2 linked regions of the Tribolium castaneum genome follow. The protein of the gene in region 1 interacts with the protein of each later gene in a biochemical or structural test. Links are inferred from orthologs where the notes say so. Each region holds a gene or a part of one and is shown on either strand. Other genes may lie near its edges.

The links.
Region 2: the proteins of Sos (region 1) and drk interact in a test that uses a peptide from one of them, tested with the Drosophila melanogaster proteins (2 studies listed by BioGRID, with this or other methods). The link is inferred for Tribolium castaneum from reciprocal best matches to the Drosophila melanogaster genes Sos and drk.

What each region holds. Positions count from the first base shown.
Region 1 is NC_087401.1:14,845,010-14,848,839, reverse strand, and holds part of Sos (protein son of sevenless), read left to right. Parts: intron 1-8; coding exon 9-173; intron 174-298; coding exon 299-310; intron 311-513; coding exon 514-689; intron 690-738; coding exon 739-899; intron 900-3,249; coding exon 3,250-3,701; intron 3,702-3,830. UniProt on the Drosophila melanogaster protein: Promotes the exchange of Ras-bound GDP by GTP. Functions in signaling pathways initiated by the sevenless and epidermal growth factor receptor tyrosine kinases; implies a role for the ras pathway in neuronal development.
Region 2 is NC_087399.1:3,452,008-3,455,985, forward strand, and holds drk (growth factor receptor-bound protein 2), read right to left. Parts: upstream 2,731-3,978; 5' UTR 2,668-2,730; coding exon 2,590-2,667; intron 2,546-2,589; coding exon 2,448-2,545; intron 2,397-2,447; coding exon 2,277-2,396; intron 2,226-2,276; coding exon 2,060-2,225; intron 1,628-2,059; coding exon 1,454-1,627; 3' UTR 776-1,453; downstream 1-775. Other genes in the region: sta (small ribosomal subunit protein uS2), read right to left, coding at 1-267; Ucp4A (mitochondrial uncoupling protein 4), read left to right, coding at 3,285-3,315, 3,528-3,638, 3,784-3,978.

The sequences.
Region 1 (3,830 bases):
CGATTTAGGAATTGCTATTGTACAAAGTCGACTCGACCGTCTCCCTCTTTCTAGTCGCTGTTTTGGAGTACATTTCGGCCGATATTTTAAAATTGGCGGGAAATTACGTGAAAAACATCAAACATTTCGAAATCACCTACCAGGATGTCCAGATTTCGATGAATGCGGATAAGGTAGGCCACTGTAATAATCACTAGCTAGATGTTTTTTATTTGACGAGTTAGGTTAGGATTAAAAAAAATGGAGAAGCTTTTCATTTTTTTGATTAACTTGCTTTTGCTTTCACGCTGCGTCACAGCCCACAGCCATGGTAGGTAGCCATGTTTTTAGTTATTTAATTTCTTTCAATGTGGCAGCATGTTTTTCTCCCTAGTTATAGAACTAGCCGCCAGAGACTTGTCATAGATGGGCTTGATTTTAGTTGCCGCTTGCACAGGTCACTATGATTTCCGCTTTTGCACACTTTATCTAGTCAGCGTCGGTCATTTCTTCACACTTTCGTATTTTTTATAGGCACTCATGGATATGTTCTATCAAGATGAAGGAGGGGGACCTGGTTTACCGACTGAGTCGCTTTTAGTGTCGTCGGCTCCGCGCACGAGTCTCACGTATGAGGAAGTCGTAAGAGAGTTAATAGCTTCGGAAAAAGCATACATCAAAGAACTACACATGTTGATCAAAGTGTTTCGGTAAGTCTCGGATTTGGTCGGGTCACGTGATGTGTGACGACTGTTGCAGCGAGGAAATTATCAAACTAAGCTCCGATTCGACCGAAATTGAACTGATTTTTTCGAACATTATGGATATTTACGAACTGACGTATACTCTATTGGGTAGTTTGGAGGACGTCATCGAGATGGCGCAAGACCAAATGTCGTACATTGGCAGCTGTTTCGAAGGTAACGCGATTTTGAAACTTGTAATTGCATAAATGAACCAATAATTGAGAATTACTAATTTTAAGATATGTTTAGATGGAAATTTTTATTTTTTAGCAGGTGTTTAGCATTTTATGGCCATTTCATGGCGGTTTTTTCCAGTCTGAGACATTTAATATTACTATGTTTGGTGTTTTTTGGTCGTAAATAAGTATATATTTTAATTTTTACAGCAGAGTTTAAAACTTATCTGGTTTTGCAGCGCGCTTACAAACCGATATATATTTTTATTGGCTATGAAAAAATATTGTTTTAAATAGGAATTGAGTGAATAAAAATAAGTTTGTGTTTTTATGGACGGAATAATTTATTTTTAGGTCCAACGTCACGTAATCAAATGGCTTCATACGAAAATAATTAATTTCGAAACGTTTGAAAAAAACAAAGAATAACTAATTTTTTCGAAACTTTCTTATGTCTTTTTATATCTTTTACGAAACTGTAGAACTCGCCAAACATTTATAAAAAAAAATCAAAATCAACACAATGTAATTTTTCTGAAAAAAAAGTATTGCATTTTATTTTTTTATGATCTCTAAGAAACAAAAATTGGTATAAATATTTTTTTAAGGTTATTGTTATTTACATATTCACGTTGTATGTAATAATTGTATTCGCAAATTAATCTACAAAATAAAAAAGTTTTGTCATTACTTTTGTCCAAGACTGTACGCAGCAAAAGCTTCTTTATTATTTTTTTTGTGAGGTTTTAATTTTGCAAAACATTTTAAATCTTCAACTTTGGGACCTTGCATTGATTTTGTACCGATTTTTCACGATTTCTAAGCAAAAAAATTTGTTAATTAATTTTTTTTGAGTTTATGTCACGAAAATAAAAAGTTTTTTAACCGTTTTTTCGGCTTGATTATGTAAATCTAGCCTCGTAATAGATTTTTACCTGCCATGTTGGTGATTTGTGGTATTTTATCAATAAAAAAAAGCTTGTTTTAATGAAAATTTTGAAAATTGATTGAACGATTAAGCTAAAAGTCGTTAATATTGCAATAGCTGGTTAAATTAAGGGTTCTAGAGGGTGTTTTTGTTATAACAATATCAAAATTATGAGCTATTTTTAAAGAATTTTTGTTAATATGTAAAAATTAATTTTTTGTGTACAGTACACAACAAAATCAATGTCACCCAAGAAATTGGTTTTAGAAGTATATTTGTACTAAAAAATCCTAATTAGTTTATGAAGTGTCAATTCGTGACAACAGTAAGTAAGACACACTGAATAAAATTGTGTAAGAACATTCGCTTTTATCGTCATGAATACAAAAAAATAAAAATAAAAAAATTACAAAAAAAATTCGTCTGATTCATTGACTTTATACAAAGTTAATATGTAGCAGATAATAAAGAATAATGGAAAGAATCTTCAAAGAAATAATTTATTTATTTTTTATTATGTATTTATTTATTTATATTTGCTGCAGTAATTTCGTCATAAATGACGAAAAACGTCAAAATTGTCCGACAAATTTACATATTGAGAAAATTGGTTTGGTTTATTTATAACAATTATATTTAGAGGTTGATAATAAATTTAATGAAACGAATGTTGCATTAAAAAAACAATTATAATTCACAATTTTTTACATATAAAAAATTTTTGTCTGTTTATTATGAGAAGCTTTATTTCATCTCGTAGAGTCTGTAATGGGCCTCATAGGCTAGTACACCTGAAAAAACAGATAATGTCTCACCTAGCAATAAAAATACATTTACATTCAGTTTTAACATTTTTTTTGAAATAAATCTGTGTTATTAAATCATTATAAAGCGAATTGCAACTTTTGATTTAATTATTACTTAAGCAAACGTCATAATTATAAACTATAGGCTATTTCAAAGTTATAACCACAAACAAAAAAATTACAAAATTTAAAAATTTCAACTAATTTTAATAATAAAATTACTTAATTACTCAAAGCTGTTTGCTATACCACTGATTAACTTGAAACTGTTAGCACTACGGGAACATGTAAATAATATTTATTCAAATTTTAATACAGAGCCGCATCATGTAACAATTTTTACATTTTTATATGTAATATTTTTTTCTGAAATAAAATTTGCAAAAACAAATGTGTGAGCTTATGGGTTGATTTACCGACACGACATTTTCAAAATAGTCAGGTGTACAATAAAATAGCAAAATCGGCCGTTGCTATAAGCAACCAAATTTTAGCGCGGCTAAAGCACACTTCGAATGGCGTTAAAAGTAGTTCGCGAAATGGCACGAGCGTAGCGAGTGCCATAAAAATATATTTACTTATAAAAAACTTCAGATGTAATTTTTTGTTGGCAGAGCTGGCCGAAGCCGCCGAATTCGACGTGTACATAAAATACGCGAAAGACGTAACCGCCCCCACATGTCGCTCCACCCTCAACAGCCTCCTCTCGCGCCCCGACGTCGAAAACGCGCTCATCTCAGCCGGTCAAGGCATGCGTCTCGCCCTCAAGTATTACCTGCCTGCGCTTCTAATGGGCCCCATCCGACACTGCTTCTCCTACATCGAATACATCACCATTTTACGGGGCCTGTCCGTGGCCCCCGAAGACCGCGAAACCCTCACCCAAGTCGAAGGCTTACTCAAACCCCTCCAAATCGAGCTCTCCCGGTGCGTCCCCTCCCCCGCCATGCTGCGCAGCTGCTCCACCCCCTTCCTCCAAGTGCGGGCGCGCCGACAAGCCGCCTTGGATAAACTGCACGAAATCGAGAAGAACGTCGAAAATTGGGACCCGAAGGATTTGGGACAGGTATTGATTTTTTATCCTGATGATGTATGTTATAATAGGCGAAACGTTGCGTAACAGTTGCTTAAAACGAGTTTGGATGAAAAATGTGCTAATTTTGTTCTCTTCGAGTGTTTAATTACCAAATAATTA
Region 2 (3,978 bases), on another chromosome or scaffold:
CTTCAGAACGGCCCTCTGTCCATAGGGACGTGACGAAATCACGAACACTTCTGACGGGTGCTCGATGGCGACGATGGCACGGGCCGCCAAAAGGAGTTTTTCCCAAGTTTTGCGCAAATTGATGATGTGGATTCCGTCAGCGCGCCGCTTGTAAACATATTGTTCCATTTGGAAGTCTACGTTAGTGGTGCCCACATGGGTGCCGGCGGCCAACATTTTGGTCACATCGTCCTCTTTGAGGCTGAGAACTTCCAGACCTCCCGACATCCTTACGTTAGAATTGAGTTACGAGTAACCTGGAAGATGCGTGAAAGAGTTAGGTTATGGCGGTGTTTCGGTGATTTTTGACCGAATTTGGGAAAATAAGCACAGGATTGTGTGGCAATGGGGCTTATTGAACGTTTAAAGGGGTTTTAAGGGCGGGATCGTTGATGATGGGTCAGATTTTTCGAAATTAGAGGGACTTACGTTGAAAGATGCCACTGGGATTCGATTCCTTCGTGGAAAAGGAACTTTAGTGCCGTGATGTTGGCTATCGCCACTTTTTCACCAAGTGAAATTGTGGTGCGAAATTTGAATTTCCTTTTTTGTTTTCGAGAAAAGCAGTAATTTTCAGACTTCCAAAATGTTAAATCAATGTTCAACGAGTGAAATTCATCTGAGTAAAATTATATCATAATACTTTTTCTAATTTTATGGAATTTCTAAGGAAAGTTGGGCAGGTCAGAAAATTGGAGTATTTATTTGGAGTTAGAGGAAAGCAATAAAACGGCTGTTATTTATATAACATATATTTACTTATACTCGCCTATTATAATAATGCAATATTGTAATAATAAAACTATGTTAGTATTTACATACAAAGTCTAAAAGTCAAAGCAAGAGAATGCCAAACGAATGAGTGTTGAATAAAATTCTGGCATAATCTCTAACGCATTATATACAAATAAAAATCTTTTGAAATAAACTCACGAATCTCCATAACTTAAAGAAATACAAAAAATGGCATCTGATTTGCTAAAAATACGATATTGTGTGCACTATCTTATAGGAAATTGGATTTAAATATTAAATCTTCGACGGAAACTAGCTCCACTTGCTCCTAACTGGTTAATTTCGTTGCATATCTGAACAGAGTAAAATGTAAGCAACCTGTCATACACTCTACCTAAAAAATTAAACATTATATTATATTCCATAACCTACTGAACTGAAGAAGATTAATAAATTTCACGTTTTTCAGTACAATTGATCCAATATAAAAATATTTGATCTTAAAACTACATTAAGAGATTTTCCAAAAACAATGAGCAATTAATAAAATCATCTAAACGATTATTACAAAATCACATAAATTAAAAACCAAGTAAAAAATCGCCCACAGTTGCGCAGGTTTTTCCAAGAGTGGTGGTGAAATAATGCCTTTGAGAAAATAATAATTAAGGGAAAAATATTATGTGTGGTAAGGCGTCACGTAAGTAGCGGGGAATAGGCCGCGACGGTGTCCGATCTCGCCATGCCACCAGTGCTGATCTGAGCGGTCCGTCACCGTTATTACGTCGCCCCTTCGGAACTCTAGCTCGCCGGCTTCTTGTGGAGTAAAGTCGTATAAGGCCTGCACCAAGCACTGCAACAGGAACGTCACAATTTGCCCATTTCTACATCCATTTATTCTCCAAAACAATTGTCAAGGTCAAAACTCCCACAAAAAATCATCGCAAATTTTAAATAATTTTTTCCTCATGTTTTTCATAAAAACTTTAGTCGACAGTTTTCCTCAGTCTGATGAGAATGCAAACTCAACATTACTGCATTTTTTCCGAGTTATTAGTGAATTGGTTGAATTTAAATTAATTTAAAACGATTTGGTGCTTGAAGCGCCCTCATTTAAGTCTACCGTACAATTTTTTTGGGTTCAGGAAATCCTGCGATTTAGTATCCTAACTTATAGTCCTCCGTAGACCAGACTATATATCAAATAACTACAGGGTGATAATGCTTATACCAACATGACTACACTGACAATTGTTCTGAAAATAAAGACAATACGATTCCGCACCTCTTCGGCCACCATGTCCTTCAGCTTGACGTCTTGTGACCGGGACACGGACGACGTGCGATGGTATTCTACTAATTCATTTAACGAATTGAATTTGACTACCCAGAGAAAAAATTTGCCTTGGGCGTCCCTTAGCACCTTGAAATGTTGCACGCCGTCAGAACACCTGCGATAATGGGGGTTATTTATAATTTTGGGGGCTAAAAAGTGTGTTTACTTGACAGATAGAGAAAAATCTCCTGGACTGGATTCACTAATACGTATGAGAAAGGCCCCTTCGTGCTTGTTTGAGAGCAGTTTTTCGGCGTCAGCTCTTGTGATTCTACCGTAGTACCAACTGTTCAAGAGAATTGTGTTATTATCATGTGACCCCTCAAGGTGTATTTACCTGTGGTTCTTCATTTCTATGTAATTACTAGGAATTAGGCCTTCTCTGCCGTCCAGTTCAGCTCTGTACCAGTTCATGTCGTCTTCCATATTCAGTATCTGGAAAAATGGTTTTAGGGCAAGCCACAATTTCGGGGAAGTACCTTTAGGACTTGAGATCTACGAAAACTAAGCTCATCGTCGGCCGTTGCGTTGAATTCGTGCTTCGCTATTGCTTCCATTGTTCAAGTTCGTCTTATCACAAATAAAAGCACAAGAGCTGACTCCAAAAAAGTTCAAATAGCACCGGCAATGTCAATACATTGGCTTCCTCCAACTAGCACTAAGCATCCGCTTTGTAATCTAACGAATAACACATTTCTTTGGAAGATAATCACTTTATTTGGTGTTTTTGTTGGGTTTTTACGCGAACCTTACGAGAACCCTCCCTTCTGTCACTGATGAAATTCAACACTGGAGGACAATCATGGCGGAGGAACACTATCTTATCACAGCCAATCGCTCTTATCGCGCAAACACAACAAACTCGCCGGCTTTGGACAAGTAATCAGGCGCAAAAGACGATAATCCGGAAAGAATTCGATACTGGGTACGGAAATAACAAAAAAAAGGTGAAATAATCCGGAACTACTTTTCGCCAGGGGCGCAGTAATCGTCTGTCACTTGAATCAAATTCTACCAACACCACTCACACGTCACCAACAATGTAGTCCCAAAAGCACTGCCGTGACAATTGTTATCTATAACTGTTCGTTATTTACTTAACTAATGAAGTTACGGAAGTTCCACCAAACAAATAAATGGTGAGTTTGCCATTAACTGGCCCCAAGTGGTGTCAATGTGTCAAAGTGACAACAAGTTGGTTGCAGGTTAATAGTGCGGTGTTGTCAAGTCGTCACAACAATTTTTTGAATTTTAATTGCCCTTTTTTTCATTAATTTTGCAATTTCCATTCCGCTTTATCACGCAGAAAGTAGGAATGAAGGCTTATTGTGTCTTTATCGGTCACGCTACGTGCACATTGCCCCCGCGGGAGTTTCGAACTTTGCCCTATGGGAATCTTATAAGACCGTGATTTCAGGCTTTTTGGTGAAGATGCCGCAGATTCCGCCCCCGAAGGAGCACAAGTACGTGGACTCGCTATGGTGCATGTACATGGTATCGGTGGTCGGAGCGTGGAATGCGGAGTTAGGTAAAAATAGAAATTAAGTAACTTTTGCCACCTTGTATTCCCTCAAAAAATCGCGCTTTATTTATAGAATAACTTGGCGTTTGTCGAGTCTTTCGTTTAAGTTAGTTTTGATTTATTCATCACCTGACCTTGACTCTCGTTGCAGTGACTTACCCGTTAGATTTGGCCAAAACGCGGCTGCAAATACAGGGTGAGGTCGCCAACACCAAAGATGCGAGCATGGTCAAGGCCCCGTACCGGGGGCTGTTCCGCACCGCCGTGGGGATCGTCTCCGAGGAGGGGTTTCTGAAGCTGTGGCAGGGGGCGTACGCCGCCTTGTACCGCCACTTGTTCTACTCAG